4 linked regions of the Pelodiscus sinensis genome follow. The protein of the gene in region 1 interacts with the protein of each later gene in a pairwise test. Links are inferred from orthologs where the notes say so. Each region holds a gene or a part of one and is shown in the gene's direction. Other genes may lie near its edges. The genes, in order: KHDRBS2, hemoglobin subunit pi-like, RNA-binding protein 3-like and HNRNPR.

Region 1 (7,535 bases):
CTGAGGGATTTTAGTTTATTTAGTCTGAAGAAGAGAAGAGTGAGGGGGGATTTGATAGAAGCCTTCAACTTCTTGAAGAGAGTTTCCAAAGAAGCTGGAGAGATGCCGTTCTCAGTAATGACGGATGGCAGAGCAAGGATCAATGGTCTCAAGTTACAGTGAGGAAGGTCTAGGATGGATATTAGGAAAAACTATTTCACTTGCAGGATGGTGAAGCACTGGAGTGGATTACCTAGGGAAGTGGTGGAATCTCCATCCCTGGTGGTTTTTAAGTCCCGACTTGCCAAAGCCCTGGCTGGGATGATTTAGTTAGGTTTCAACCTGTTTGGGCAGGGGGCTAGACTCAATGACCTCCTGAGGTCTCTTTCAGCCCTATGATTCTGTGATTCATCAATACAGGAGAGAAATAAGATAGTAAATTGGTGCACTGGTGTTCAAATTATTAAACTATTGTCACTGATATTTTAGAGCCCCTGCTTCTTTCATAGCTGTTTTATTGTGATCTGTCCGGGTAAGTCTACACTACAGCGCTAATTCGAAGTAACTTAGTTCAAATTAGTTAATTCGAACTAAGCTAATTCGAACTAACGCGTCTAGAACTAAAAACTAGTTCGAATTAGCGTTTTGCTAATTCGAACTAGCATGTCCACATTGAGTGGACCCTGAACAGGGCTTAAGGATGGCCGGAAGCAGTGCCGGCAGGGCATCAGAGGAGGACTTAGAGCGTGGAGATGCTGTCTCAGGCTAGCCGAGGGCTGCGCTTAAAGGGACCCGACCCCCACCCCGGACAGACAGTTCTCAGGGGTGCCCTGCTTGAAAACCAGTCGTGGCTTGGAGTGCCCGGAGTGCCCACACTGGGCACATCACAGCACTCAGCCATCAGCCCGGCTGCACTTGCCGCAGGCTGCCATCCGGGGAGAGGGGGCAATTGAGGGGCTGCAGGAGAGCTTCCACCCCAGAAGCCCGCAGAGCCAGCCCAGTCCTCCCCATCGGGGGCTAGTACCCCATTCCTCCCTCACCTCCTTCCACTTACCCCTCCCTAGCCCCCCTTCCTGATGTACAAAATAAAGATAACGTTTCTTCCAACATTGACTCTGTCTTTATTGAACAAAACTGGGGGAGACTGGAAAAGGAGGTGGGAGAGGGGAAGAGAAAGGCTGGGAGATGGGAGGGCAACTAACATGATCAGGGGTTGGGAACAGGTCCCAGATGAAGAAAGGCTACAGAGACTGGGACTGTTCAGCTTAGAAAAGAGGAGATGGAGCGGGGACAGGATAGAGGTCTCTAAAAGCAGGGGTTGGGTGGAGAGGGTGCATTCAGAAAAGTTCTTCATGAGTTCCCGTAAAGAAGGACTAGAGGACACCAAAGGAAAGGACTGGGTAGCAGGCTTGAAACTAGTAAGAGAAAGTTGTTGTTCTTCCCAAAGCAAATAGTTAACCTTCGGAACTCCTTGCTGCAGGAGGCTGTGAAGGCTACAACTAGAACAGAGTTTAAAGGGAAGTGAGATCAAGTCATGGAGGTTGGGTCCATGGAGTAGTCTTAGCCAGGGGGTAGGAGTGGTGTCCCTGCCCAAAGTTTGTGGAAGACTGGAGAGGGATGGCACGAGACAAATGGCTTGATCACTGTCTTCGGTCCATCCCCTCCAGGGTCCCTAGTGTTGGCCGCTGTCGGCAGACAGGCTACTGGGCTAGATGGACCTTTGGTCTGACCCAGGATGGCCATTGTAAGCTCAGGGCTCAGGGTCGGGGGTCTCAGTGGACCCCCTTGATTATCATGCACACCTGCTCCTGGGTGGCCAGGCTGGCAGCTCTCCTGCCCTAGCTGGCCACTTTCCTGTGCCTACTGCGGAGATTGTGGACGAGGTCCAGGATGTCCGCACTAGCCCAGGAAGGTGCCCGGCTCTTGCGGTCCCGGGCAAGCTCCCGGGAGCCGCCAGCCTGGTCCCGGGAAGAGGGGGTGGGCTGGGGGAAATCGGGTGGCTGGCTCGAGCCGTGCCAGGTGCAGGGTCTGCTGGCTGGGTGCTGGCAGGCTTGCACCTGGCACGGGCACCGTAGCCAGCCCGTGCCCCTTTAAGGGGTCCGGGGCCGGGAGGGGGGCAGACGAGTTTCCCTGGTGTTGGCCAGAGTGGCCACCAGGGAAACCTGGGGAGGGCTAGCCTCCCACTAGTTCGAATTAAGGGGCTACACACCCCTTAATTCGAACTAGTAAGTTCGAACTAGGCTTAATCCTCGTAAAATGAGGTTTTCCTAGTTCGAACTAAGCGCTCCGCTAGTTCAATTTAAATTCGAACTAGCGGAGCGCTAGTGTAGCACCTATGAATGTTAGTTCGAACTAACGTCCGTTAGTTCGAACTAACATTGTAGTGTAGACATACCCTCCTTTATTAGACTTATTAAAAATAAAACAGAAAAATGCTTTGCCTGTTCTGAAACATCAAACCAAATACATGTAAAATATATGTTTTTATTTTAGTGGATATAGCAAACACTCAAGCTCCTAACTAGATAAGAAGTCATAACTCATGATTAAAATATCATCTGAAAAATGTATTTAATATCTGACAGACTTTCATGAAATATGTTTTAAATGAGATTTACTCTAAAATTTCCAGAAGACCCCAAGTGACTTAGCAGCTTAAGTATCATTGAAAGTTAATGTGACTTAAGCTGTCACATGCTTAAGTCACTTTTGAAAATGAAACGATGGATCATCTTATGCCTGGCCACTTTGCTGCAGAGAAATATGTATATAACCCTTTTCTGTACTCCCTATACGCAAGTGTTCTATGAATACAGTTCTTTCTATTGCACAAGTTCCTTAAATATATATACTCAAGTTTATTTTTTTGAAAATTGGAATTGTATTCAGAGAGGTATAAAAGTTCAAATGGTAACCATATCTAAGCTTTGGTTACCCTTCCATAAATTACATGTAAAAGGTAAAATTGGATGGCCAGCAAAACACAGCTAATCAGACTCCCAACAAAATTTACTCTGAAACAGCCCACTACCTATGTCACTCCTGCAGTGTGTCCTGAATACCAAATGACCAGGACTATTTCAGAGTGGGAAGAATTTAGGTTAGTGCTGAGTTCCCCTCTTTTACTATTCCTCCTTCTCTCTTGAATCAGAAGAATCCAGCATTAGCTTTTCCAGTGAATGTAGAGGTAGCAGTGTGGCAGGAGTAGAAACATGGTCTCTCAGTAGGATAGGACTAAGCCAACGTTAGTTAATTATATTTTGTTAAGGTCCAGACACCAGAGAAAAGAATAAAAACGATAATGATAATAAACGCAAGATTCATTCAAAAGCCTCTGGTATTATGGGTTTGGCCTGTGCTCCATCTATTTATCCTATTCTAAGCCATTTAAGGTCTTATATCTATATATATTGTGTGCCTTCATAGTTCAAATTTCTCGGTCATGGTTATTACAATGGCTCCTGAATCTGCTGGGATATGCTAATAGATTTACAGTTGTACTTTTACATTTGTGTCCTCTCTCACACCAAAACAGGATTAGTAGGTCCCTGGTGTTTGCCCACTTGATTGATAAAATATTCAAATGATAAAGCAAAAATAGAGAGCTATACCTAGAAACTGAACAAAAGAAGCAGGGCATAGCTAGGGGTGGAACTGAATGTGCTGTGGCCTGCCCGCCAGCTCCCCTGGCACTCTGTCCAAGGAGCAGCCAAGACTTACCCTTCCTGCTCGCTGCCCCCCATTCGTGACCACCCACCCGAAGTGAGGGTTCATCCAGGTGGGCCCTTCTGGCTGCTCTACTGAAAAGAAGATAGAAGAGTGCTGAGAAAATGTTCTTACGATGTAACCCCGGTTCAAATTGCCCCGGGAATCTTTGTCCATAAGTGAACATGCTTTGTCTGTAAGATCCATGGGCGTGGGGAAGGGAGGAGTGGGTAACTATAAACTCTAGACACTGTTTCCTGGAAATTCAACTCTCCTGGGAACAAAGCCCATTGTATTAGGCCTGTTGCAGCCCCTCTAACCGCATGGGAGCTTTAATTGTCGAAGGAGGAAGCTTCAAGCGCCGCTCTCAATGTAGCGTCGCCTTTTCCTTCCTCAGTGAGCCGCGGGACGTCTGCGGAGCATCGGGCCGCTGTGCTCAGATGCCGCGGCAGTCCCGGCTCTGCCCATATTGCGCCGGCAGTCTCCGGGCAACTGCTCCGTAGTCACCTAGTCCCTCCCGCTCCGGGGCTCTGGCCAGTCCAAGCTGGCCCAGGCGAAGTAGCTCCTTGGCACCTGCAAAAAGTTCCTGGGAGAGGAGGGCGGCCGGGGGCAACCAATGGCTCAGTCAAATTTCCCGCCTCTCCTGTGACTCCACACCCCACCCCCTCCCGGGGTGCGGCTAAAGGGCAGGCACAGGGCTGCCGTACATCCTCTCTCCTCCCCCCTGCTGAGGTTGGCAGCCTTCCCCTGGCTCCCGCAGAGGCGCCCCGCCTACCCCGGCGGGCAGTGCCTACTCCGGACTTCAAGGGCGCGGGCTGAAGGGTGTGAGGGTGGCTCAGGGAGTCTCGCTCCTCCCAGCCCCCGCCCCCTTAGCCCCCGCTTCTGGCTGCTGCTGCCCGGGCGCCTGGCCCAGGCTGCTCCATCCTCCCGCTGCTTCAGCACCTCGGCCAGCGAGCGGAGCCCGCGCACCCCTCCCGCCGCCTCTGCCAGCTCCGTGCCCCGCCAGTCAGCGGGCGAGCTGGGGGGCCGGAGCCAGCAGCAGCTCACCGCCGCCTTGCGGGTCTCCGCCCTCCAGCGCGCAGCCACCAATGAGCGAGGTGGGGAGGTGGGGGGCCCCTTCTTCCCGCCTCTCTAGTTAAGGCCGCGGGGACCGGGCTGTAGCTCAGTAGAAGGGGCAGAGGCAGGCGCGGAGCCAGCGGGGGCTGTGAGGGGCAGCACAGGGCAGGGCACCTCCGCTGGAGTTGGGGCCAGCCGCCTGCCAGCGGAGCGGAGGGAGCCCAGGTGCGCGGAGCGGGGGCGGGAATTAGACCACAGCCAGAGGCGGCCAAGCCACCACGCCACTGCAGCCAAGCAGCACCTAGGACAGCGGCGGCCGGTCCCAAGTGCAGAGCGGCAGCGGTACTATGGAGCAGGAGAAATATTTGCCCGAGCTGATGGCAGAGAAGGACAGCCTGGACCCGTCCTTTGTTCATGCAATGCGCCTCCTGGCTGAAGGTAAGACTTCGCTCCTCCTGCCGGGTGTCTTGCCTCTTGAACGCTGCCTTGCTGTGCGCTTAGCTAGGGGACGTGTGCTGCCACGGACAAGCAGCCGGGATCCTTGCACCCAGGCAAGGCATTCCGCACCTTAGCACAGGCATGCAGATGGTCCTCCCCCTCCCCTTTCGGAGGGACCCCCAACCTGCCTGATGGGAGAGATGCCAGCAGAGATTCCTGAGATCTGCCATAGGGATGAGGAATGACTAATCGGCTCAGGCATCGCAGGCAGTGCCATGAGCAAGAAAGTACGGCGTCCACAGAACTGTCCACTTCTGAAGTGGGAGAGCTGGGGAGGGAGGGTTCAAGTCAAATGTGATCCTCGAGAGCGAGTGTGTAAGAGCTATAGTCTGTATTTCGGCAGCCTTTCTCGAGTGCAGAGTTGCCCTATGAACTGGCCATTCACAGGTTTCTGTGGAAATGTTGAATACTAAAGAGGCAATCCGAATCTCATCGCTGACGATGAAACACTGTGGAAGATGTTATTCCCTCTCGTGTCTACTGTATAGGAAAATTATCAATGATCAGTTGCTTTGCAAAGTATGGATTGTGTTTTATATGTTTGTTGTATTAAGGCAGAGAACACAGTTAAATAGGGAGATGCATATTCCTCCCCCCCCCCATTAACAATAGTTCTTGGAGCTTGTTCTCCAATAGCTCCTACTAGCCACTGTTTGGAGTAACTTACCAAATGTATTTATCAAATATCACTTATGCTAATTATATTTATATGTAGTAAATGTCTATATTTTATTTTTCATTGCTGGAAATGTCTGTCTTCTTATGATTTTTCACTAAAAGGATTTATTTCATTGAACAAACGGAATTGGATAGATTTTTTTTAGGTAGGGCTTTCATGGTTCCTGATTTTATTTACACAAAGACAGATGCTAGATTCTCGTTATGGTCATTACCTCTTGTTTTCCATCTTTAAGTATTATGTTTGGCTTTAGATGATAACAGCCAAATCTCCTACTATATCTATAATGCAGCATTTTGTCCTTTTCTGTTTTGTACATTCACTGGATAGGGCATATCAGTTTCATGACATCATTTCATTAGGGACTTGATGCATTTTTCTTATGATTGTACAGTAATATAAAGAATTGTCTTCATACAAATTTATTCTTCATATATCATTAGTGCTTGTGATATAACTACATTTTATGCATTTTGAGGCAGATATACTACTTAAGAAGGAAGTCTTCAAAAACTTTATCTTTCTTACAGCACTATGTAGTTATTGACTATAGGCCTTATTGTGCGGGACTTCTAGTACAGAAGAAGTACAATTAGATATACCCCCTTCTTGCTTTCTGTTGCTTTTTCTCACATATTTTGTTGATTCTTTAAAATATTGTCTAAATTGAATACAAATGAAAATGAAAATAGTGATAATGAAGCATAAATCAAGATTCTATATTAAAATCTGAAATGAAACTAAGACAAAAGCTTGTATTGAAATCATTGCAATATTCAAAATATATACTACTCTACAATCTAAGTGAATAATTTTCTAAAGTTTCATGTGCCTTTATGCACATTCATAAGAATTTAAAACTTTTTATGCTAGTACTTAAAGCAACCCTTAGCTCAGCAGCCTTCATATTGTCTTTCTTAAATACATGTTTTATTGATTGAGAATAAAGTTACTGAGTCTAGATTTTCACAGAGTGCTTCTGTCCGATAATGGGAAGTCCAGCATAAAAAGTGACACACATTTAATATACTTATAATACCTATCATACTGCTCTCACAAACAATCACAGTAGTTTTTACAGCAGGCATACTTACTAATTTGCAGATGATGAACCAAAATTCCTTATTGCTGAAAGGGGCATATTTATTGCACTCTGCAATTTGATCTTTTCCCAGCAGGGGGAAGTATCTACTGAAAGAGTGTGTGTGAGAGCTATCATACAAAGTAAATTACTGAAAGTGCGCCAAGTATAGTCAAATAAAGAAATGTAAGTGTTATTTCGGGGTCCGTAGTTCACGCAAACATCACATTTCAGCCAATTGGTGAGACTGACTAAATTAATAGTTAATTGGTTTCTTTTGAGTATAGCTGGGGTTAAGTCTATCTGAATATTTTAAAAGATAAAGCTAAGCTATCTCTGAAATTTTTAAAGAATGCTAATGTAGGATTCACACCAGATACCTGATATGAACCTTCAAAACACCATCTGTTTAGTTTTTTAGAGAGGTATTTTAGATTTTTGTATAAATGATTTGAAAAAATTTAAAGTATGTGTGCAACTAGTTAAAGCAGCAGAAATAAATGTATTTATTATCACTGGGTATAAATAAAAGTGTCA
Region 2 (7,558 bases), on another chromosome or scaffold:
CGACACACTCAGCAACTGGGTTCAGCCCCAGAGGCACCCCCCCAGGCCCTCCGAGCACCCCTCAGGCCCTTGAGCCCCCCAGATCTCCCCACTTACCTGGTCCCGCAGGGAAGCTGTCTTCTGGTTCAATCAGGAAAACAAGATGACAGCCAGCAAAAAGGTTCAAAGGCTTTTCTTAAAGGGGCAACACTATTGTTTTTGCTTAATAACTCTCGAGGTCCTTTTTTTTTTTTTTTCCTCTCAACGACTTTGGTCTCCCTTTTTTTTCCCAACAATTTTTCCCCTGTTTTTTTTTGGGGGGGGGGGGGTAGGGGGATTCGGTATTTTTAGTTAAACCATCTGGCAACCCTAGGCAGGGGAGCATGCAAAGCCTTCTCCTCTCTGCCCCCATTGGCTGTGTCTAGACTGCATCCCTTTTCCATAAAAGGGATGCAAATTAGACACATCGCAATTGCAAATGAAGCGGGGATTTAAATCCCCCCACTTCATTTGCATAAACATGGCTGCCGCTTTTTTCCGGCTCGGAGCTTTGCCGGAAAAAAGCGCCAGTCTAGACGGGGATCTTTTGGAAAATAAAGCCTTTTCCGAAAGATCCCTTATTCCTTTTTTAGAAGTAGCCCTGGGCCACCCTGGAAGGATGAGTGCACACAAGCTAGCATGGGTCTGTAGTCCAGTGGTTAGAGCATCCAGTTGGATCTCTCTGACCCAGAGAAAAATGCCATCCGAGCCCCAAATATGGCCATCATAAAGGGCACAGACTTACTGCAAAATCCCAGAGACAGAGACCAGTTGGAGGAAATGTCCATTCCAATAGGCAAGGGAGTCAAGAGTCAACTGCAGCCTCATCAAAATGGAAACACTCAAGCCACCAGCCTTCACTGCACTAGTCCCAGTTGGTGGGGCTCCCAGAGAGAAACCTCCTACTGGGCAGCCTGCCTCACCATTATCTGGAGACACCTGCTAATCTATTACTGCTGTCCGGGAGTAGCAGAGCCTCCCATGCTCCTACAGAGGCCTGAGGACCAATGCTTGCCACAGCATAGGCACAGGGCTTACTGCTTCGCCAGTGGCAGGAGTCCATGAATTAGTGGTGCATGGAAGCTAGCAGGGCCATCCTTACCCATGCGCAAAATACGCAGCAGATCAGGGCATCTGAAAATGTGGGGCACCACTGGGTCTTAATATCTACCCACCTCGTCCTATCTCCGTTCTGTGGCTTTGCTTCCTTCTTAGAGGATCCAGTTAACTTAAAAGCGAGAAGGCCTGCCAGACTTATTAGCAGAACCTGGAACCTGGGAAAGAGTCATTCAAGTGGTAATAAAGCCATTTAACAGGCAACCCCAAGTACACTCAACTAAGAACACTCCTCTTCCTCCCCTCCTCCCTGGAGTCCTTAAAGGGGTAGACTCTGGCCACAGTGCCTGTGCCAGCTCCAAGCCTGCCAGCCCAGAGCCAGCAGTCACTGCCCCGACCCAGTGGCCCCAAAACATGAACCAGCAAGCCACAGGCAGCCAGCTCTCCACCACTCCCCAGGAGCAGTCTGCCAGCTCCCAGGGGCCTGCCAGGGCCCAGAGAAGGCGGGCGCCTTCCTGGTCCAGGGTAGAGATCATGGACCTTCTTCAAGTTTGGGGGGGATGCCCCCAACATCCATGATCTCCACACTAGATGGAGGAATGCGGCCGTCTATGGCAGGATAGCTGCCAGCCTGGCCACCAAAGGCCACATGAAAACCCAGGAGCAGGTTCGCATGAAAATCAAGTTGGTCCGGCGAGACCCCCAACCCTGAGCCCTGAGCTTCTCCTCCCCCTTCTTCCCCTTGCTTCCCCCTTCCAGCTCCCTCCTCCCTGGTTTCCCCTTCCCCTCTCCCACCCTCTCTTCTCACCTCTCCAGCCTCCTTTCCCCAGTCTTGTTAAATAAAGAAAGTTTGTGTTCATGAAAATACATGTATTTTATTGGACATCAGGAAGGGGGGTTAGGGAGGGGTAAGTGGAAGGACGTGAGGGAGGAACGAGGCACAAACCCCCAGTGGGGCAGACCAGGGAGGCTCTTAGTGCTCCTCAGAATGGAAGCTCTCCCGCAGGGCCTCCTGGATACTGACAGCCCCCTGATAGACCTCCCGGATGGCAGCCTGCAGAAAGTGCAGCCAGGCTCGCAGCAATGTGTCCAAGTGAAGCACCAGAGTGCCCAGGAGCAGCTCTGGCTCCATGTTGCAAAGTGCTGTGGTGTCCCGGGTGAGGGCAACCAGAGCATACAGGGACAAAATGCTTTGCTCTCCCTCATTGAGGTAGGTAAGCAAGCAGGGAAACCTGAGAACCAGCTGTCTGGGTGGGGGGGAGGGTCCCTTTAAGCACAGGCCTCAGATAGCCTCAGTCAGCAGCCATACAAAGTAACTCTTGATCTGATGCCCTGCCGGACCTGGTTCTGGCAGGCCTTAAATGCGATTCAGCGTCCACTCAGTGTAGACGTGCTATTTCGAAATAGCAAAACGCTATTTTGAAATGTATTTTGTGTGTAGACGTGTTATTTCAAAATAACTTATTTCGAAATAACTATTTCGAAATAAGATATTTCAAAATAACGCTGTAGTGTAGACATGGCCTTAATCTTGGTGGCAGATGGGTCTGCTGTAGCCAGTGTTGCAGGCACAGGGACAAGGGGTTCCTTCTTGCAAACACACAAGCTTTCTTCTCTGGAGGGGCAGTTCTTTGAAACTGTGTCTAACTGCAGGACCTGGCAGTTCTCCCAGCCTCTCTTGGCTGCCTAGTGAATCTAGACATAAGCCAGCCATCCCCTTGTTCAGTCACCCTCCTCCTCTCACCCCCGTACCTCGCTTATTTCTATGTGTTTAGACCATGAGCTCTTCATGTCCTCCTGTGTTTTAGTACAGCTGGAGCACAATAGGCTCCCGGCCTTCTCTGCTATCCCACCATATAGATAAACAATTGTCAGAATTATACATCGAGGAATGAAAGACCTGAAGAATTAAGTACTCCAGCCATGAGCTCTAGAGAGATTCCTTTACACCAATGATTTTTTGTCCTCCACTCAAGCTCATCTGAAGAAGCCCATGATGCTATGGACAGTAAAACCTGTGTTATCCAGCATGCTTGGGGATTAGGATCTGGTTATCTAAAAATTCCATTTATCTGAGGGTCTCATCAACCTAGGAAAACCAATGGACAATAATAATAAAACGTAAGTTTTTAATAGTGTGAGGCAGTTGGTCTCACATTTCTATTTTGAGTTAAAGATGATTAGTACCTCTTAAATAAAAAATTGTTAAGCCAATCATGGTAAACCAAGCCAGGCCTGTGCACCTGAAGATGTGATGTGACAGTATTGTGGCTAGGGGCAATGCTGGTTAACAAAGTTTTCTGGTTACCAGAGTGCCAGATAACAAAGGCTTCACTGTATATATTTTTGTTAGTCTCTAAGGTGCCACAGGACTACTCATATGCAGGTAGTGTGGTCCAGAGGCCTTGAGATGTGTAGTTAATTCATCATAATATTTTGCATATATATATATAACTACCACCAGGCAGACTTGAACCTGAGACCTCAGCATAGGAGCCTTTACAGCTTGAGCAACAAAGCCAGCTGGCTCTCAGCTTAAGCTGTAGCACTCCCTTGTTCTTACCTCTTGTTCTAAGTGATCTGAGTGCCACTACATGGGACAGTGAACCACCCTGGATGCGTGGTTTACATATGCCCCCCCCACACACATAGAACCCTACTCAACCCAGCAAGATGTGTATGCGAGTGAGTGTGTGTTTGTGTGTGTTTATACAAAATACCGCTGCTTCCATGAGATGTTTTTAAATCTGAAGTGGTGTCATTTTTTGTAGCTAGTGCTATGTAGTAATGGTAAATTACTTGTGAATAATACTTGGCAGGAGCAATACAGGGTTAACTCCCATTGACTTCAGTGCAGGCAGGATTTCATCCACAGTCTACACTTAGCACACCCTGCTCTGTCCCCATGTATTCCCTGAAAAGCAGTGGCCTGTCATTGCATTCGTTTCTCTCTGAGCCTGTTAGCACATCTGTAAAACACGTGGATGATTCCCTCCTTGCTCTTAGGCCTGATGTTTTCCACCTTGTCATTACGATTCTCCGTATTGTCTGTTTGCTCATCTCTGCCCCTGCAGCCGGTTCATTTCCCCAGGCCACCACACTGCTGCGTTAAGATGTGAGAAAATGATAACGCCTCCCAGTGAACAGTCCAGGGCAGGACAAGGATTGTTTTCCAGAGAGATAAGAGAGCCCTTCCTCACGGGGTGGGCCCCAGAAGTGACCAATGGCAATGGACAGCTGCCAAGTTCTGCTCTCTCCGTCCCCTTTATAAGGGGGCTGCGAGGATGATCAGCACAGGCCTGTCCGAGTGACCATTGCAAGGAGGCTGATCTCACAACCCCCCAGCAACGATGACTCTGACTCAAGCTGAGAAGGCGGCAGTGGTTGCCATTTGGGAAAAGGTCGCTACCCATGCTAATGCCATTGGGGCCGAGTCACTGGAGAGGTAAGTGATGTGCTATCTTTGCTTAGATTCTGTGGGCCTGTCTCAGATTTCACCCTGGTGGACACACTCGGGGGTAAAGTTTGTGCCAGGGGTGAATGTGGGTCTGTAGTTCAGAAGCCTGGGGAAATCAGAGACAATGAAGCTCTTGAGAGGGCAGATTTTAAGGGTATTCTTCAAACATTGGTGATTGAGGGCCTCAGCTTTTCCTGGAGAATAACCCTCATGGAAAGTCCTGTAGAATACAGCAGCGCTCTATAGAAATGACTCTAACACTCTATGGAGTTTAACAGAGAATAATATCCCTGCTGTCCAATCCTGCGGGATGATTTCAAACCCCAAAAGAAAGAATATTCTGTTTTATTCACTTTCCATGGATGCCAGCTGGGCGGAGCTCCGGAGAGTGACTCCACATGGCCACTGATACCCAGATAATGCCAAGTGCAAAGGTTATCACTGGTATGAGCTGAACATGAAAACAAAAGGCACGTGGGAGGGGGTTATTATGTGAATGATGCAATTTCTAGTGGCAAGTGCAGGGCAGTGCTTGTGATGGGGTATTCAAGCAGGATGCTTGGAACATGTCTCAACATTCCATTTGATGTGTAACAGATTAGCAGGAGAAGTAGACACCCCCATGAAGTGCATATCACTGTAAACCACATAGGCTTGTAGGGTCACGGAAGGTTTGCTGTAAATACAACTAGCCAGCCTTTTATTGGTAGAGCCAGGACTAATGGATTTGAAGTATTATGTGAAATGTATGTTAAGTAAAGGGGACATTTTCCCCAAACATCCCATTTCAAATGAACCAGCTGAAGTTTGGGGGTAACCCACCTTACGGCCCAAGAGCTCTGTACTCCTTCCAGTAAAAATCCATCCACAGCTAATTGTCTAAACAAGCTGATACAAAGGGAGGGAAAGAACCTGGGAACAATGTTTGGTTTCTTCAGGTGAAGACTAGTCCCAGGTTTGTGATATTCAAGCAGTTCATTTTAAATCTTTTCATGGCCCTTTTTGGCTATGTAAGCTTCACTTATACTGATTGAAGCAAAGATTCTGGACATGAAATATCTGACTATAGAGAGTATTCACTATAGATTCTGCTATCATTGGGAAATGCAATTTGGTTCTGCTGCAGAAAATATACTACAGAGGATGAGGATGGCTGTGGGGAAGTATTAGGTTATTTAGCTCAAAGAAGAAAGTAAGTTGAAAATGCTTGTAAAATACTTTTCAGCGTGTAAATCTAAACATGGCTTAGCCAAGAATTCTTCTTGGTGAGACTCCATTGATTTACAACTGTAAACACCAGGGATGAATTTGGTCTATCACTCTTTTCCTAAAACAAAGAAATAAGGTTACAAACCGCTCCTGTAGAACTGCTGGCCTGTAACGTTTGACCATTCCAGCCCCATTTCAGCACAGGGTACAGTCAAATACTAACAGTCTAGAGAGCATTTCTCTAATCCATTCTTTTCCCAGTTCCAGTGTTTTGGACGAGAAGAGCAGGAGCAAGTGTCGATCCAGGGTCCTGGCCTCCCTGACTCAGGGCTGTATCAGCTGCTTGGTGCAATTTCCATTACTGAAGTCATTTCTAATGTTCTCTTCCAGGCTTTTTTCAGGCTTCCCCCAAACCAAGACCTATTTCCCTCATTTCGATCTCAGCCAAGGTTCTGCTCAGCTTCATGGCCATGGCTCCAAGGTCCTGAGTGCTATTGGGGAGGCTACTAAGAACATCGATAACATTACAGGTGCCTTGGCCACACTCAGTGAGCTGCATGCCTACATCCTCCGAGTTGACCCAGTGAACTTCAAGGTGAGTGAACATAAGAAGGGCCACACGGGTCAGACCAAAGCTCCGTCTAGCCCAGTATCCTGTCTTCCTGCAGTAGCCAATGCTAGGTGCCCCAGGAGAAATGAACAGAATGGGCAATTGTCAAAGGATCCACCCCACGTCGCTCATTCCCAGTTTCTGGCAAACAGAGGTTAGGGACACCACCCCTGCCCAGCTTGGCTATTAGCCATGGATGGACCTAGCTGCCATGCACTGAGATCTTTGGCAAGGGAGAGTGAAATCTGCTGTACAGTCTTAGCCAAGAGCCAGTTGGCTTTTAGCTCATGCTGTAGAAGCACATGGCTTTCACCCCTAAGGTTACCGGTTCAGTCCCTCGTGCCCACAACAAAGGTCTGTGAGCCACTGATCTTAGACAGATCGCATCACATCTTTGTACCCCCATCAAAAATGGGGAGAATGATACTGACTGTGCTTGGCCAAGGACTCAGGCTCCTGCATGAAAAGCTTTCTGTATGTGCAAGGATTATTCCTGGTTACTTTATAGTCCCAGGACAAGGAAGAGGAGCAGTGTGAAGCAACGACTTCTCTCTGGTCTAAAAGGTGGATTTCTCAGTCAGTAACTCATACCCACTGGAGGAGACTCTACCTGGCAAGGAGACTCCAGCTTGGTGTTTCAGGCTCCCAGCAGGCAGAGGTGTGTTATTTCAGGCATGTGATTTTCCATGTGATTTTCTCCTGCTCTTTTCTCTTGCAGCTGCTTTCCCATTGCATTCTGTGCTCTCTGGCCGCCCACTTTCCCAACGACTTCACCCCGGAAGTTCATGCTGCATTGGACAAGTTCCTGTCCCAGATTTCTTCGGTGCTGACTGAGAAGTATAGATAAACTGTCTCCTAGGAGAGCAGGGGCCAGGCCTCTCAGAGTGGGATGCCCACCCTTCATCATGCACGCTTCATGAATCCCTACACCTGGGTGTTGTCCTAAGCAAAAAGCCAATAAATATTCTAATTGGCCACTCTTGTCTCTGTGCTTTAATATTCACTGGCTCCAGCCGGACATTGTTGTTCATAATGGGAAGGGTGTTCTGACATTCCCTGCAAGATGCTAAGGGGGCTCCTCAGATAGCGAGATCCACATACAACACCTAATCACTTCTAGTTACTCTTTTTTCATCATAGAAGAAGAACCAGAGGACACTGAACTGAAAGGCAGCAAATTTAAAATCAATCAAGAACTATTTTTTCAC
Region 3 (8,268 bases), on another chromosome or scaffold:
GTTAGAGCGGGGGGGGGCTGGGAGGTCTGGATTGTCTCCCCGGCTCTGTGAGGGGAGTGGGGGCTAGTGGTTAGAGCGGGGGGGGGCTGGGAGGTCTGGATTGTCTCCCCGGCTCTGTGAGGGGAGTGGGGGCTAGTGGTTAGAGCGGGGGGGGGCTGGGAGGTCTGGATTGTCTCCCCGGCTCTGTGAGGGGAGTGGGGGCTAGTGGTTAGAGCGGGGGGGGGGCTGGGAGCTGGGGCCGTGGCATCCGGTCACGGCCGCGTTAATGAAAATGCTGTTGGCACCCAGGCTCCGGGCTCAGGTTCCTGCCCCGCCCCACCCCCAGACCCAGACTAATTAGCCTCCCGGGTGCATTGTGTCCCCGGGGCTCTGCGTTCCCACGCTCTCAGGTTCGGCCGCCGGGGGGGAGGGGCGATCAGGTTCCCCCCATGTAATCCTGGGGCTCACAGCCGGGAATTGGCAGTGGGCTCTGCCCTGAGGGGGGGGCGCGGGGACCTGGGGGGTGCAGGAAACTCCCCTCTAGCCTGCAAGGGGCTGCCGGAGTGGCAGGGCGACAGGGGGAGCGCCCCCTGCAGCAGCAGTAGTAGGGCTTGCACCCTTCCTGAGCCACCAGGGGGCAGAGCCACAGGGGCCCGCAGAGCTCGGGGGAGCCCAGGGCAGGGCTGGCAGGGGCTGTGGGTTGGGGGGAGGGGCTCGGGCAGAAATCCTGACCCCCCCCACTGTCTCCCTCTCAGACGCTATCAGCCCCCCCTTCCGGAAGAGATGCCTGGCCTGGAGGGGGGGCCCCCGGCCGCTCCCCCTGCCCTGCTCTTTCCCACCCCCACGCGCCGGCGCCATCGCACCAGCTTCATGCCGGAGCAGCTGGAGCAGCTGGAGGCCGCCTTTGCCAAGAACCACTATCCGGACATCTACGTCCGGGAGGAGCTGGCCCGGGCCACGCGGCTCAACGAGGCCCGGATCCAGGTACCCAGGGGGCTCCGGGGCGGGCGCTCTCCCCTGGCACTCAGGCCTGGCCGCTGGCGGGCGTTCTGTGTGGGTGTTTCCCAGCTGCCCCACCCCAGAGGTGGCTGCACTCCGCAGCGGGCGAGGCATCGCTGGGGTCCCAGCCGGGCGCACGCCTGTGAGGGGCTGGGGAGCGCAGCTGGGGCTGGACGGCGTCTTTTTCTCTTTCCAGGTGTGGTTCCAGAACCGCCGGGCCAAGCAGCGGAAGCACGAACGGGCCTTGCTGAAGCCCAGCCCCCCGCGTGGCCTCTCTGTGGGGCCCGTACCTGCTCCGTCACCCCGGCCGTACCAGTACACCCCGCCCCTGGCCCCCCACCCCCACCTTCCCCGCTTCCCTGCCTCCTACCCCCCAGGACTCCCACCTCCCCCTGCCCAGTTCCCCTGTCCCCACCCCCCGCCCCCTCCCTGTGCCCCCGAGGACTGGTACAGCTCCCTGCGCGCTCTGACCTCCCCCACTGCCCCCCCGACCCCCGTCATCTCCCTCAGCCTGGACCCAGCCGCCCACTGGAACTGAGGCCCACGAGGCGCTGGGCCACAGCCTGGAACAATCATAAAGGCGTTGAAAGGCCTCTGACTCCATCTCCTTCCTTCCAGCACCATCGGACAGCCCTCCGGGCACTGAGATGCAGGGGCAGGGCAGCTGGGGAACAGCCACATACAACACAGCCCAGGGGGAGGGCTCCCCTAGCTCTGAGATGCAGCCACCTCTGGGGCAGGGCAGCTGGGGAACAGCCACATACAACACAGCCCAGGGGGAGGGCTCCCCTAGCTCTGAGATGCAGCCACCTCTGGGGCAGGGCAGCTGGGGAACAGCCACATACAACACAGCCCAGGGGGAGGGCTCCCCTAGCTCTGAGATGCAGCCACCTCTGGGGCAGGGCAGCTGGGGAACAGCCACATACAACACAGCCCAAGGGGAGGGCTCCCCTAGCTTTGAAATGCAGCCACCTCTGGGGCAGGGCAGCTGGGGAACAGCCGACACAGAACACCACATGGGGCTGGCTCAGCCAGCGCGGAGAGGCAGACAATTCTAGGGCAGGGCAGCTGGGGAACCCCCACATATAACACTGCATGGGGATGGCTTATCCGGTGCGGAGATAAGCCATCACCTTTTGTTATTAAATAATTCAATATGGGCCAGCACGGGGTCCCAGCCTGTACCATGGTGTTTCCTCTGCGCTTTAAATGGGTTAATTTCCTAACAGAGAGAAAAATGGTGAGTGAAATAAAATCGTACGACTGGAAGGGACCAGCAAGTGAGCCAGGACCCTGCACAGTCTAGTTCAGTGTTTCTCAACCTTTTTTGTTATAAAGTACCCCTTGAAAAAATTATAAGTACCCCTTTTTCAAAAAACGTGTAAGTTCCCCCAGTACCTACAGTTTTCAGAGACACATTTGTTTAAACAACTCCATCGCAGTCGGGCGGGTGATGACTTTTTTGGGTGTAAAAAGTACAAAAATAATAAAGCGCTGTCAAACGTCAAACAAAAATGCCGTTTTCTCCACCTTTCAGTTGTGTTGACGGACCCCCCAGACATCTCTCAAGTACCCCGGAGGGTACTCGTAGCGCTGGCTGAGAAACGCTGCTCTAGAGCACGCCTGGACGTCTGTCCAACCTGCTCTTCCATATCTCCAGGGCCGGAGATTCCACAGCCCCTCTAGGCAATTGACCAGTGTTTCACCCCTGGCAGGCGGGAAGTTTTTCCTTATGTCCAAACCTCCCTGGCTGCAGTTGAAGCCCCATTGCTGCTTGTCCCGTCCTCAGTGGCCAAGGGGAACAATTTTTCTCCCTCCTCCTCGCGACACCCTTTAACATACCTGAAAACTGCTTCATGTCCCCCCTCAGTCTTCTCCTTTCCAAACCAAACAAGCCCAATTCTTTGTCTGCCCGCCCAGCTCCTGTTCCCTAGACCGGCCATCAGTCTTGCTGCTCTTCTCTGGACCCTCTCCAATGTCTCCACATCTTCCTTGAAATGTGGTACCCAGAACTGGCCACAATCCCCCAGCGGAGGCCTGACCAGCGCAGAGCAGACCAGAATGACGTCCCGCATCTGGCTCACAATACTCCTGTGCACAGATCCTAGAATGATGTTTGCTTTTATTACAACAGTGTCACACTGTTGGCTCATATTTAGCGTGTGGTCCACTATGACCCCTAGATCCCTTTCTGCCAGACTCCTTCCTAGACAGTCGCTTCCCGTTCTGTGCGTGTGGCACGGATTGGTCCTTCCTAAGTGGAGCCCTTTGCATTGGTCCTTATTAAACTTCATCCTCTTGACCTCCGACCGTCTCCCCTGCTTGTTCAGATCACTTTGATTTAGAACCCTGTCCTCCAAAGCACTTGCAGCAAATTGGGGGGGGGGGGCGGGGGAGGGAAACGAGGCCATAAAATATAAGTGCAAATGGGGAGTTTTCTAGGAAAAGTTTATCAGATCATCGAAAAGCCCCGGTTCCAGAAAGAAAGATGGGGAGCCACATGCTCTGTGAGTGGGGGCCGAGGGCACCAACTGGAAAGATTAAAAGCCGTGTGGCACAAGTGGGAGAGGACCAAGAGGGACGGCAATTACACAGCACTAGCAGGTGCGGCCGGGCGTTGACCGGGCAAAGTCACTTTGCGTCGCTTGCACTTCCAGGAAAGTTCCCGGCGCGGGAGAGAGGGCCTAGAATTGTTTTATTCACGCGCTCGTGACAGGGAACTCGGGAAGGGTTTGAAATCAGGAGGATTTCCGCGTCGGGCGCGATTCGGTGAACGGGGCAGAGGCCAGGCACAGGCAGAACCGTGTCCCAGCCCCATGGCGGGTCCGTAAGGAGTGGGAGTTATTTCGTGTCGTGTGTCGTCGCCCGCGTTCTCTCTGCACGGGCGCGAGGGCGGCGCCGGCGCCCTGGTGTTCGGCTGGCGAGGGCGGCGCCGGCGCCCTGGTGTTCGGCTGGCGAGGGCGGCGCCGGCGCCCTGGTGTTCGGCTGGCGAGGGCGGCGCCGGCGCCCTGGTGTTCGGCTGGCGAGGGCGGCGCCGGCGCCCTGGTGTTCGGCTGGCGAGGGCGGCGCCGGCGCCCTGGTGTTCGGCTGGCGAGGGCGGCGCCGGCGCCCTGGTGTTCGGCTGGCGAGGGCGGCGCCGGCGCCCTGGTGTTCGGCTGGCGAGGGCGGCGCCGGCGCCCTGGTGTTCGGCTGGCGAGCGGTGCTCTCGGCGGGATGCTGAGCGAGCGCTGGGACTTTCTTCCCGACACAAACCGAAAATCAGGATTCCCCCGCCGCCCGTTCCCGCAGGGATTGGCCCCCCCCGTGTGTTCCGGGGTAAAACGCGTAGTCACCCCCCCATTCCGGGGGAAAATGTGGGGATTTCCCTTTCCTTGGGGGTTAAATGCAGGGATTCGGCCCCCCCCCCCCCCCCCGTGGCGGGTAAAACGCGGGAATTGCCCCCCCCCGTGGCGGGTAAAACGCGGGAATTGCCCCCCCCCCCGTGGCGGGGATTTCAGGTCATGGAGGGGGCGGGGCATTTATGCAAATTAATTAATTATTACAATTCACTGTTAATTAAGCCTCACGCCTGCGCCCCTCCCCCCGGATCAGGGCAGCAGCGCGGGGGGGGGGTGAGACGGAAGGACCCGGCTGCGAGCGGGGGCGGGGCTCAGGGGCGGCCTTTAGAGCAGGGGGCGGGGCTCAAAGTCCGCCGGGCCCCGGATGTTCCATGGGCGGGGCTCCGAGAGGCCAGGAGCCGGACGCCGCTGGGTGGGGGAAGTCCCCGGATGTGCTTCATGCGCAGGCGGCCTGGGCCGGGCTTGGCGGGAAAAGGCGGGGCGCGGCGGCAGTTGGGCAGGACCCGGATGGGCGCCGCGTGCCAACGTCCCGGATGGGCCAGCTTGGGGCTGGCCCCGCCCTTCTCTGCCCTCCGCTCCGCGCGCGTGCGCGTCTCGTCACTGCGTCCAATGGGAGCGCCGAGCCGAGCGTCACGTGAGCGGTGGGCGGGGCCGCTATATAAGGCTCGAGCGGGCGGCACCTCGGCCGCCTTTTCAGCAGCTCCAGCCCGGGAAGGACTCGCCTGGTGAGTGGTGGCGCGGGACGTGGTGGCGGGTGCTCGCCCTGGCGCAGAGGGAGTCGAGGGATTGTGGGAGGGCCGTGGCGGCCTAAAGCGCGCATGCGCGGCCGACGGGACCCTGATGAAACGTTGGTGGCCGGTGCAGGAGGGGGATTCTGTGGCGAAGGGGCGGCGCACGGAAGAGGCCTTAGGGGCGCGCATGCGCGGGGGCGGTCTCGGAACGTTGGCGGCCAAGCGGGGCCTCTGGTGGGAACCGGACTGCTGCGCGCATGCGCGGTGGTCGCCTCGCTGGCGTTCTCTCCGCGGGGCTCGCGCCGGCTCTGCGGGAGGGGGCGCCTTGGAACCCTGGGGCGGGCGGCGTTCCATCCGGCGCGGGCCTGGCCACGTGATCGCCCGCCGCCATCTCTTCTGCGCGGGACGCAAGATGGCGGCCGCTGGGGGCGGGGTTGGGCTCCTGGGCCCTTGCGCCCTCCATTGGGGAGGGGGTGAAGAGCACGTGGGCCCCCTAAGGCCGGGGGGGGGGGGCGAGTTCCCTGGGCTGGGAGAGCAGCCGGGCCTGTTTCATGGGGGGGCCTGCAGCAGCCCTGAGCTCTGGGCAGCGGGTCTGGGACCCTCGCAGGGTCACCCCGAGAGCGGCTGTCCTGGGGCACTTCCTCCCACCCGGGCCTTGGAAGGAGGGGGGCGGGGGACGTGTTGAGGCGCTTTAGTATCCATCCCGATGATGATCCAATCCCATTTCCTTGGGAGAAGGCTGCGGTAGGGGGCTGAGGGTTGCAGGCTCCATAAGGCCCTCAGGGAGAAAGTACTTTCTGATGCTCAGTTGCTCCCTGCCCCTGGGAGGCAATGGGGAGGGGGGAAGCTACCTGGGGCCCCTCGGAACTTGTAGGGAGTGCTGAAGCTCTCACTCTCAGGGGAGAATCCTCTGCTGCAGTGTCTACGTCTCTTCTTTCCCTCCTTCCATGCGGGGCTTGACTCCGGGCTTGAGAGGGGAAGTCATGTCATCTGTTCTTCCTAACCACCTTGCATCTCCTTCCCAGACTCCTCGCCATGTCTTCTGAAGAAGGAAAACTCTTTGTTGGGGGTCTGAATTTTGAGACCGACGAACAAGGCCTGGAGCAGCATTTTGGCTCCTTTGGCCCCATCTCTGAGGGTAAGGATTCAGTTATGCCTGCACACCTGGTCCCTATGACTGTGAGGGGAATTGGTTTTGCAAGACCTCATTGCAGTAGGTGCTTAGGCCTCTGCCTTAATATCAGCTGCCTAGTAAACTGGCACAGCTCTTTGCCATGTGGTATCAGCAGATATCTTACTACAAAGATACTGCAGTGTGGTCAGGCTGTGGGGTGCATCTAGGAGCAGCATCAAGTAATTGACCAGTGCATGAGGCCTGTGCTACATAAGGGTGATTTGTAGACACAGGTCAATTCCAAGTGCAAGTTGGCTCAATTGCCCTTTATTTCTTCCCCTTCTAGTGGTGGTAATTAAGGACAAAGAGACCCAGAGGTCCAGAGGCTTTGGCTTCATCACCTTTGCCAACCCAGAACATGCATCGGATGCCATGAGAGCTATGAACGGAGAGGTGAGTCTTACTGCAGTGATATCTTACTGCAGGCTGCTGCTTAACCTGTTCCCTTTCCTAAACATGTCTTGTTTCGCTGCAGTCCGTGGATGGGCGTCAAATCAGAGTTGACCACGCTGGGAAATCTTCCCGTGGATCCAGAGGTGGCTCATTTGGAGGCAGGGGACGAGGCCGTGGCTACTCCAGAGGTGAGTCTAGCAGCCCTGCTGTTCTCAATCTGCAAGTCCCTGTCCTTTGGGAGTAGGAGCACTAATGTCTTTTTACCCTGTGTGCTGTAGGAGGTGGAGACAGAAACTACGGTGGCGGCCGCTATGACAACCGAAGTGGCGGCTATGGCGGGTCCCGGGACTACGGTGGCAGGTAACTCTTAATGAGACTCCAGGAGCCCAATTGATGAAGCTTAACACAGAATGTTGAGGGGTGACTTGAGCTTAGTCTGCAAGCACCTACGTGCAGATCAGTACTTGGATATTAGGCTTGCCTTGCTCAATTGCAGAGCGCTAATGTCATCCAGCTACTGGAAGCTGAAGCTAGAAAAATTCAAGTAATAAGGCACGTGTTCTTTAAGTGAGAGAGATGATCTGTATTGGAATTGAGCAAGAGTTGTGGGTGATGTTCCCTCACTTTTTTCCGTCCATGTGCAGAATAAAATTTGTGTGCCCTGGGGATGTGGCTGTGCACCATTAGAAAGGCATGCTGCTGCCTGTGGGTGCTGTGCTAATCCCTTGGGTGGCCAAGTGGCCACCCAAGCACTTGGCTTACAGGAAACACTGGCTTGGGGGGAGGGGGGGATTTTTTTTGTCCCTGCTACATTTGAATTCAACATTAGGCAGTTCATTTTTTAAAAGTCTTAGGTTTCTGCTTCTACTCATCTTGTCTGCCCTGTCCTGTGGGGGTCTGACTTGATCAGTTTTCCATTGCCCTTAGAATTGAGGGCGTTGGAGTGAATGTAATAAGAGTTGTGCTTTGCTTTCAGGAATCAGGGAGGATATAATGACCGCTACTCCTCTGGAGGCAGTTACAGAGACAACTATGACAACTAAGGTAGGTGGAGCTGAGAGAATGAAATACAGCACTTCTCTTGATTAGCAGGTGCACTTAAAACCTTTGCAACGCACCATCTTGTGCTGAGCAGTGGCCATAATCGAGGATTAGTAGCTGGGACTCGTCTCTTTGTCCGCCTTTAACAAGCCTGACTGAGTCTTATTGCCAGGCCTTGGTTCCGTTAACCCTGGTCGATAGCTAGCATGAAATGCATGTGGAGGCTTAGAATTCCATTTAACACAAGTGACCGCCATCCAGCGACTAGATAACTGGGGGAGGGGGAGTCCTGGAGATTCCTAGCCTCACAGAGCCCCAAAAACAGTCTTAGAAGATGGTGAAATGCTACAAAAGTGTCGGTATGCTTCAGTGCCTTTACGATTGTACCTACTTCTTGTCCTCAGCTCGCAACGAGTAAAAACCCTTCCTGACTCAAGATCGTCCTTCCAATGGCCGTATTTATAAAGAGTTTTGGAGCTTCGCTGAAACTTATTGTTTAGTTATCTCTACCTGTATCTTCCCTTTTGTAGTCTTGTCACGCAGCCTGACAGCTTCTGCTACGAGATGGCCCGTTGAGACTTTCCTCAAGAAAGCTCTGTTTATTTTCGAGTGG
Region 4 (7,429 bases), on another chromosome or scaffold:
CATCTGGGGCACAGATATTGCTGAGGAGTCAGAGGGGTTTTGCTCGTGAGGCTTCTGGCTGGCCAGGCAGGCAGCTGAAGCGCTCCGTGGGACTGGTTTGTGGCCTATTTGGGAAGGTCTCCAGTCTGGGAGCTGTAAGGAGCCCCAAATTTGAGCAATTTGCTCTGAGCCTAGTCCGGTCTGTCACACTATCCCTACCTTGGAATGAGCTTTAGTTACAATATTTGGGCTGGTGAACCTTTACCAAAAGTAAGGTAAAGGTCCTTTCTGCTTTTAGAAAGGGTAGCTGGCAAAGTACACTGAGGCACATTATTTAGCTTAAAACTACGTTTTAACTACATGGCTACAATTTCCACTAGCATTCAGTATGTTAGGCATCCAGTCACCACCAACCTCCTTGGTGAAATTCAAAATAAAAGTCATTAAGCACCTCAGCCATTTCCATGTTTTCTATTACCTTCTGCATGTCTAGTCTTCACTATCTGACAAGAAACTGCAGAAGAGTGGGGCCCTGCAATGCCATTTTCTACATTTGGGTTCAGAGATTTGATAGGAAGGAGATAGGGATGTAGTAGTGTAGTCAATTAACCAATAAGAAACAGCTTATAGGTTAATGCCATGGACTACATGCATTTCCTTTCCCTCCTGCCTGTAAATTTTTTAGCAGGCTGATCTGCAGCCCTGCTCAGATCTGGCTCTCTCCAGGTCCAGGAGCTCAGCCCCACACTGGACAGAGGCTGCTGCCACCCCATGCTACTGCCTCTGTATCAGAAGCAGTTGCGTGGGGCAACAGGCACCTTGTCCATGAGAGGAGCTGGTTTTTAAACTGGCTCCCCTTGCGGACCAGCTCCCAACTGGCACCTTGCGCTGCTGCCTCTGATGGAAGGTGGAGAGGCAGGGGGCTCCTTGAGAGTGGGGCTGGAATGCATTGGCTGCCAGCCCCATCTCTGGGGACTATACAATAGTTGAGTAATTGATAAGAATTCATGAGGTTAATCGAATATTTGATTAGCCAATATTTAACATCCGTAGGAGGAGAGGATGGACATAGTGGGGCTTGAGACAGAAGATGTGGCGTATGAAAGAGGCCACAGGCTGGGGAGCTTGCTTCCCCAAGCAGCAGCTTCACTCACCATTCATGGTATTGCCACTTGTTTGTTTGCAGTCTGTTTTGCTCTGTTACTTAATTTTACTGTTCTATGGTGTGTGCAGTATCAGTCAGCTGAAGAGCTGACATCCCAGACATATTGTATAAGACTAAGTAAATGTTTTTTATGCTCCAGTACCAGAAAAATATTTATTAATATTTGAAACAAGAACATGACTATTTTAGCTGATTCACAGATTTGCTTGGCATCCTAAAGCTGTGAAGATAATATGTAAGCAAGAAGGGATTGTTTTGTGAACTTCAAAGACCATAGCATGCTAGCGTTTTGGCAGAAGTTTCATTTTTTAAAAACAATTTTCCCTGAAGATTGAGGTTACATCTCCAGTTGCCACAGCGGAGATCAATCTTCTGGTATTCCATTTAGCAGGTCTAATAAAACCCACTAAATCAAATGGTGAGGGTACCCCTGGCCAGCACGGGTACTCCTCTATTTGCAAGGAGCACGGGAAGTCAAGGAGAGCATTTGCTCCTATCAACTAACCACTGTGAAGATGTGGTAAAGCAGCAGCTGCTTTTGCGCAAAAAATTGCTGCCTATCTACACTGCGCAAATACACTGACGTTCTAATGTATGAAATCAGGGCTTCTTGTGCAAGAACTCTGATGCTCCCGCTTAGGAATAAGCCCTCTTGTGCAACTGTTCTTGCGCAAGAGGCCAGTGTAGACAGGCAACATGAATTTTTTGCACAAGAAAGCCCTATGGTTAAAATGGCCATCAGAGCCTTCTTGCACAAGAGAGTGTCTACACTGGCATGGATGCTCTTGCGCAAACGCATATGCCAGTGTAGACGCTCTCTTCTGCAAGAGTTTTTGCACAAGTATTCTTCCACAAAAGAGTTCTTGCGCAAGATCATGCCAGTGTAGACATAGCCTAAATGTCTAACAGCCTGATAACACTTAATAGATTTAAAAGGCAGAGCTGCAGCAAGGTTGCTGCAACTCTGCAGTTTCCCCCCTTTATCAACTAAACAACTTGTCAACTATCTGATTAGACACTTTTTAACATCCCTACTCCCTGCCCAGATTGCATATCAATTAGCAGACCACTGTTTAAAGCAGCTGCAACTGCTCTGTAGTAAGGGTGCTGGCAAGGTGGCCACTGGATCCCGCTGGCTAGCTGCCTCTTGCTCATCCCTGCCTTAATGTGTATAAGTAGTGTAACGTTGTTGCAAAAAAGAAAAAAAAAGGCAAACATGATTCTGGGATGCATTAACAAGAGTGTTGCAAACAAGATACTAGAAGTGAAAGTAAGGTGGTGTGCAGTAGGAGAGTGGCTAGCTGGGGGCAGGACTCTAGCTGCTGCCGGACACTGTAAGATTCTTATGTTGGGTGCTCATCCCACCCCTTCTGCCTCACAGGAGCCCAATCCTGTCCCCACTACCAGAGAACTGGGGGGAGGGGCACAAGGTTCCAGGCCTTCTGGGCTGGAATCAGTACTCACGATAATAAACCCACAGCTCAGGTGGCCAGCCAGCTCGGCCAGCTGAGGGGATCTGACAGGTGGGCTACAGTGGCTGCACTCTCAGCTCCTAGCTCCCACCTGCCCTGAGCCCCTCCATACCCCCACACCTTGCCCTGCCCCCACCCAGAACCCCTCCATGCCCCCCACACCTTGCCCTGCCCCCTACCCTGAGCTCCTCCATGCCCCCCACCCCTTGCCCTGCCCCCCACCCCGAACCCCTCCATGCCCCCACACCTTGCCCTGCCCCCACTCCAAACCCCCCACACCTTGCCCTGCCCCCACTCCAAACCCCTCTATGCTCCCCACACCTTGCCCTGCCCCCTACCCTGAACCCCTCCATGCCCCCCACACCTTGCCCTGCCCCCTACCCTGAACCCCTCCATGCATTCCACACCTTGCCCTGCCCCCACCCCTCCATGCCCCCCACAACTTGCCCTGCCCCCCACCCCTCCATGCCCCCCACACCGTGCCCTGCCCCCACCCCAAACCCCCCCGCACCTTGCCCTGCCCCCCACCCCAAACCCCTCCATGCCCCCCACACCTTGCCCTGCCCCCACCCCTCCATGCCCCCCCCACCGTGCCCTGCCCCCACCCCGAACCCCCCCGCACCTTGCCCTGCCCCCACCCCAAACCTCTCCATGCTCCCCGCACCTTGCCCTGCCCCCACCCCTCCATGCCCCCCACACCGTGCCCTGCCCCCACCCCGAACCCCCCCGCACCTTGCCCTGCCCCCCACCCCAAACCTCTCCATGCTCCCCGCACCTTGCCCTGCCCCCACCCCTCCATGCCCCCCACACCGTGCCCTGCCCCCACCCCGAACCCCCCGCACCTTGCCCTGCCCCCCACCCCGAACCCCTCCATGCCCCCCACACCTTGCCCTGCCCCCACCCCTCCATGCCCCCCACACCGTGCCCTGCCCCCACCCCGAACCCCCCGCACCTTGCCCTGTCCCCCACCCCAAACCCCTCCATGCCCCCCACACCGTGCCCTGCCCCCACCCCTCCATGCCCCCCACACCGTGCCCTGCCCCCACCCCGAACCCCCCCGCACCTTGCCCTGCCCCCCACCCCAAACCCCTCCATACCCCCCACACCTTGCCCTGCCCCCTACCCTGAACCCCTCCATGCCTCCCACCCCTTGCCCTGCCCCCCACCCCTCTATGCCCCCCACCCCTTGCCCTGCCCCCACCCCTCCATGCCCCCCACACCTTGCCCTGCCCCCACCCCAAACCCCCCCGCACCTTGCCCTGCCCCCCACCCCAAACCCCTCCATGCTCCCCGCACCTTGCCCTGCCCCCACCCCGAACCCCCCCGCACCTTGCCCCGCCCCCACCCCTCTCCTCCATGCTCCCCGCACCTTGCCCTGCCCTCCAGCCCGGGGCGGTGCCCTGGCTCAGTACCTGTGAGAACCGTAGGGCGCGGGCGCGAGCGCGAGCGGCTCTTCACAGCCCTGGCCCCGCCCAGCGGTGGAGGCGGCCCCTCCCTTTGTTCAGCGAGGCGCAGCTGCCTCTTTAAATTTCCGATCTCGGGCCCTAGCTCTGCGGGCGCGTCGGCCTCTGTCTTCTCTAATTGGTCCCCTAGAATAATCGTGTCTCGCCTCCGATCGCTAATAGGTTCCGCCTTGCTGCTCGTCTGGCTCCCAATACGCTGATTGGCTAATGCAGGGAGCCCTGGAAGCAGTTCTGGGAAACCCCGCGTTTTGCCGGGGTCGCGCCGCCGTCCATGAGGCGAAAGGAGGCGCGCGCGCGCCATTTGCAGTCGCTGCTTAGGCCCCAGCCGCGCCGCGTAGGCCGCGCTCCGGTGAGTGCCGCGGGGCCGCCGCCGGGGGGTGGGGGGCTGGCCGAGAGCTGGCCCGCCGCGGGTGCGTAGCCAGCCCCGCTCGGCCGAGGCGGGGCGCTGGGCCCTGGCGGCCGGGACTAGGCCGCGCTCCGGAGGCGCCGCGGGGCCTGGTTTGGGCTGGGGATGGCGCTCGGGGTTGGGCGGCAGCGCGTGGGCCGCCTCGTAGAGCGCCAGCCGGGCCCGAGGCCACGGGGCGCCGCTTGGGGCCGTGCGCTGCCCGCGGCCCGCTCCGCTCCGCACGTGGGCCGGCTCCTGCATGTGGCTGGCGCCCGCCTGGCATTGTGTCTGCCGCGCGTCCAGCGCAGCCCCCCCCCCCCGCCCTTCCTCGCGCGGGCCGCGCGTGGCCGCTCAAAGCTGCCTGGAGGCACAGCCCGTGGCCGCTGGGCACAACACCGCGTGCGCGGCTGGGCTGGGAGTACCGAGGCTCCAGCCTTCGTGCTGACCCGCCTGCATTGCTGTAAGCAGGCGACCCCCGTGCTGTAAAGCCGCCCAGGATGTGCTTCGCTAGCTTCGGCTTTAGGAAGCTAAAACTTACACTGCCCGAGTTTAATAGCGGTTAGGTCGCGTTTTGTGTTTGGTTCTAGGTGGTACGCCTTGCTTTGGGCTAGAAAGATGAAAGAATCTCGCTAATATGAAATTGCATTTTCTGTGCTGAACTTTAGCAAACTTCTATCCACTAACGTTTTTATTAGACATACAGGATCTAAATTGGATTTAATTTTTTATTAAATACTTATACACATTTCTAAAGTGGATTTAATTACTGTGTTTTAGTGGCCATGTTATGCATTACCCTGTGAATGTAGCCTTACTTGACCTATGGTTCAGCATAGGCTTATTTAGAGGAAGTTGTTTAGACTTTTCTTTGTATCTTCTTTTTGTCTTTTCTCCCATTACTGGGCAAAAACATTTTTAACAGCTTTGATACTTTTGTGCTGTGGGTATCATTGATGGCCACACATTTTTCTGTTTGACATACTGCAGAACAATTATTAGTGTCATACATGGTGTATTCTGTAGGAGTAAGAAAGTGTCAGTAATTAGTGGGTTTTTTAAACCTTTCTGTGAATTGACTTGATTTCTGTGTAAATTTATAAGGTTTGCTGACTAGCAAAATTCTACTTAATAGCATTCTTTATTCTAAAAGTGGCTGTTCTTTTTGGGTATTTTATATCCCTACTCAATCGTCTGTCTGCTGTTAATTATTTAGGGATGTAAAATCCCATTTGGTTAAATGGTTAAACATCCTACTAACACAATATTTAATCCATTAAAGAGAAGGTAGGCAGGGGGGCTGACCCAGTGGGGAACTCCACAGGAGTTGAGCAGCCCTCTGATAGAGGCTAAGCTGCTCCTGGTTGGTACCTGTTGACTGTTACCGGGTAAGCATTACTGGTTAAGGGTGATGCTTACTGGGTAACCATTTAACCCTTTAGCTATTCACATCCCTAGTTATGATGTGAATCTCAGTAATATTTGGGTACACCAGACATGTTAATGGATTTATTCTGTCATTAATACTGAGTGGTAGATAAATTACTATTACAGATAGAGAACTGAAGTGACCTTCTGGAAGGTAAAATTCATACATGTTAGCACATGTCTTCACGGCAGAGTTCATGAGTGGTAACTCAAGTATTGTCACTAACTTGAATTTCCTCCACATCCAACCCCCTAATTTGAGTGTCACCCTATTTGTAACTTGAGCTGGCTGACCCATTTGGAGGTGGAGTGAGAGGCTAGTAAAATGAAGTTCAGAGTAGGGATGTTAAATATTGGTTAATTGAATAGTTGAATAACCTTGTGAATTTTCATAAGTTACTCAACTATTCTGTAGTCCCTAGGGCTGGCAGCCCTGTAGTCACCGGGGCTGGGGCCCACTGCCAGTATGCTCTGGCCCCACTTGGGAGGAGCTGCTTGCCAGTCCATACCACTGCCTCTGATTCAGCTCTCCTTGTGGACTGGCTACCTGTTGCTCTGCGTTGCTGTCTCTGATACAGTGGGGACTGAGCTGGACCTGGTGTGAGCAGGAACTGGTCTGGGCTGTGTGGGGTGGGTGGGTGTGTGTGTGAGAGAGAGAAATGTATATAGTCTATAGCATTGACCTATAAGCTTTTGCTAGTTGATTGACTACACCAGGGTCAGCAACCCTTCTGAAGTGGTGGGCCAAAATTTAACTCTCCTGACCTGGGCTGTGCTCCTCTCTCTGGGGGAAGGGGCTTTCCACTTGGCTCCCCGTGGACCACCTGAGTCAATGCAAATCTTTCCCTGGAGTACCAGTTGCTAATGGAAATTCACTGTTAATTACATAATTGTACCCAAGCCATTTTGCTAGTGCTGCAGCTGGGGAGAATGGTTTCATTTAAATTATTAAACAGATTAAGCTTTTTAACTTGCTTGTGTTAGTTTATCAATGTTTTACTTTATTTAAAATGAAGTTTATGTCCAACACACAGGTTTCAGTGTTTTCTTTCTTTATAGCAGGGGTGAGGAACCTTTTGGGTTGGAAGTCACTGACCCACAGAAAAATCAGTTGGGGATCACACAAGTGAGAAGCAAAAAAAAACTCCTCCCAAACCCCCCAACCTTCACTGATGTTGACCCCAACTGAGACACCTCACCTGGCACACCAGCCTCCTGAGGGGAAGGGTCAGGTACTGAGGTTCAGGGCTTCCCATAGGCCAGATTTACTTTTCTGGAGTTCTGCAGTTAGTGGATTTTGTGGACCCCCTTCGGCTCTGGGGTGGGGAAAAAAATGAAGCCCTGTCCCAGTGTGTGGGACAGGGCTGCCAGTGAGTGTGATAGGGATGCAGTATCTTGGGGGGGGAAGTGGGGTGAAGGATGGGGTGAGGAAGGTAGGGTCTGGAAGAGCGTTTGGTGGAAGGAGAGAGTGTGGGGTAGGGGTATGAGAGGGAGTTCAGGGGCGGGAGAGGGCTGGGGGAGTAACACAGAAAAGGTGAAA

The links.
Region 2: the proteins of KHDRBS2 (region 1) and hemoglobin subunit pi-like interact in binary tests that used the Homo sapiens proteins (3 or more experiments, as listed by UniProt). The two-hybrid records come from large-scale screens. The link is inferred for Pelodiscus sinensis from reciprocal best matches to the Homo sapiens genes KHDRBS2 and HBZ.
Region 3: the proteins of KHDRBS2 (region 1) and RNA-binding protein 3-like interact in binary tests that used the Homo sapiens proteins (3 or more experiments, as listed by UniProt). The link is inferred for Pelodiscus sinensis from reciprocal best matches to the Homo sapiens genes KHDRBS2 and RBM3.
Region 4: the proteins of KHDRBS2 (region 1) and HNRNPR interact in binary tests that used the Homo sapiens proteins (3 or more experiments, as listed by UniProt). The link is inferred for Pelodiscus sinensis from reciprocal best matches to the Homo sapiens genes KHDRBS2 and HNRNPR.

What each region holds. Positions count from the first base shown.
Region 1 is NC_134713.1:45,802,374-45,809,908, reverse strand, and holds the start of KHDRBS2 (KH domain-containing, RNA-binding, signal transduction-associated protein 2), read left to right. Parts: upstream 1-4,319; 5' UTR 4,320-5,087; coding exon 5,088-5,178; intron 5,179-7,535. UniProt on the Homo sapiens protein: RNA-binding protein that plays a role in the regulation of alternative splicing and influences mRNA splice site selection and exon inclusion. Binds both poly(A) and poly(U) homopolymers. Phosphorylation by PTK6 inhibits its RNA-binding ability.
Region 2 is NC_134726.1:4,665,806-4,673,363, reverse strand, and holds hemoglobin subunit pi-like, read left to right. Parts: upstream 1-4,359; 5' UTR 4,360-4,424; coding exon 4,425-4,519; intron 4,520-6,130; coding exon 6,131-6,335; intron 6,336-7,068; coding exon 7,069-7,197; 3' UTR 7,198-7,327; downstream 7,328-7,558. UniProt on the Homo sapiens protein: The zeta chain is an alpha-type chain of mammalian embryonic hemoglobin.
Region 3 is NW_027466045.1:273,032-281,299, forward strand, and holds the start of RNA-binding protein 3-like, read left to right. Parts: upstream 1-4,890; 5' UTR 4,891-5,041; intron 5,042-6,072; 5' UTR 6,073-6,082; coding exon 6,083-6,185; intron 6,186-6,507; coding exon 6,508-6,614; intron 6,615-6,696; coding exon 6,697-6,802; intron 6,803-6,892; coding exon 6,893-6,974; intron 6,975-7,590; coding exon 7,591-7,657; 3' UTR 7,658-7,658; intron 7,659-8,059; 3' UTR 8,060-8,268. UniProt on the Homo sapiens protein: Cold-inducible mRNA binding protein that enhances global protein synthesis at both physiological and mild hypothermic temperatures. Reduces the relative abundance of microRNAs, when overexpressed.
Region 4 is NC_134735.1:23,170,187-23,177,615, forward strand, and holds the start of HNRNPR (heterogeneous nuclear ribonucleoprotein R), read left to right. Parts: upstream 1-4,280; 5' UTR 4,281-4,350; coding exon 4,351-4,428; intron 4,429-7,429. UniProt on the Homo sapiens protein: Component of ribonucleosomes, which are complexes of at least 20 other different heterogeneous nuclear ribonucleoproteins (hnRNP). hnRNP play an important role in processing of precursor mRNA in the nucleus.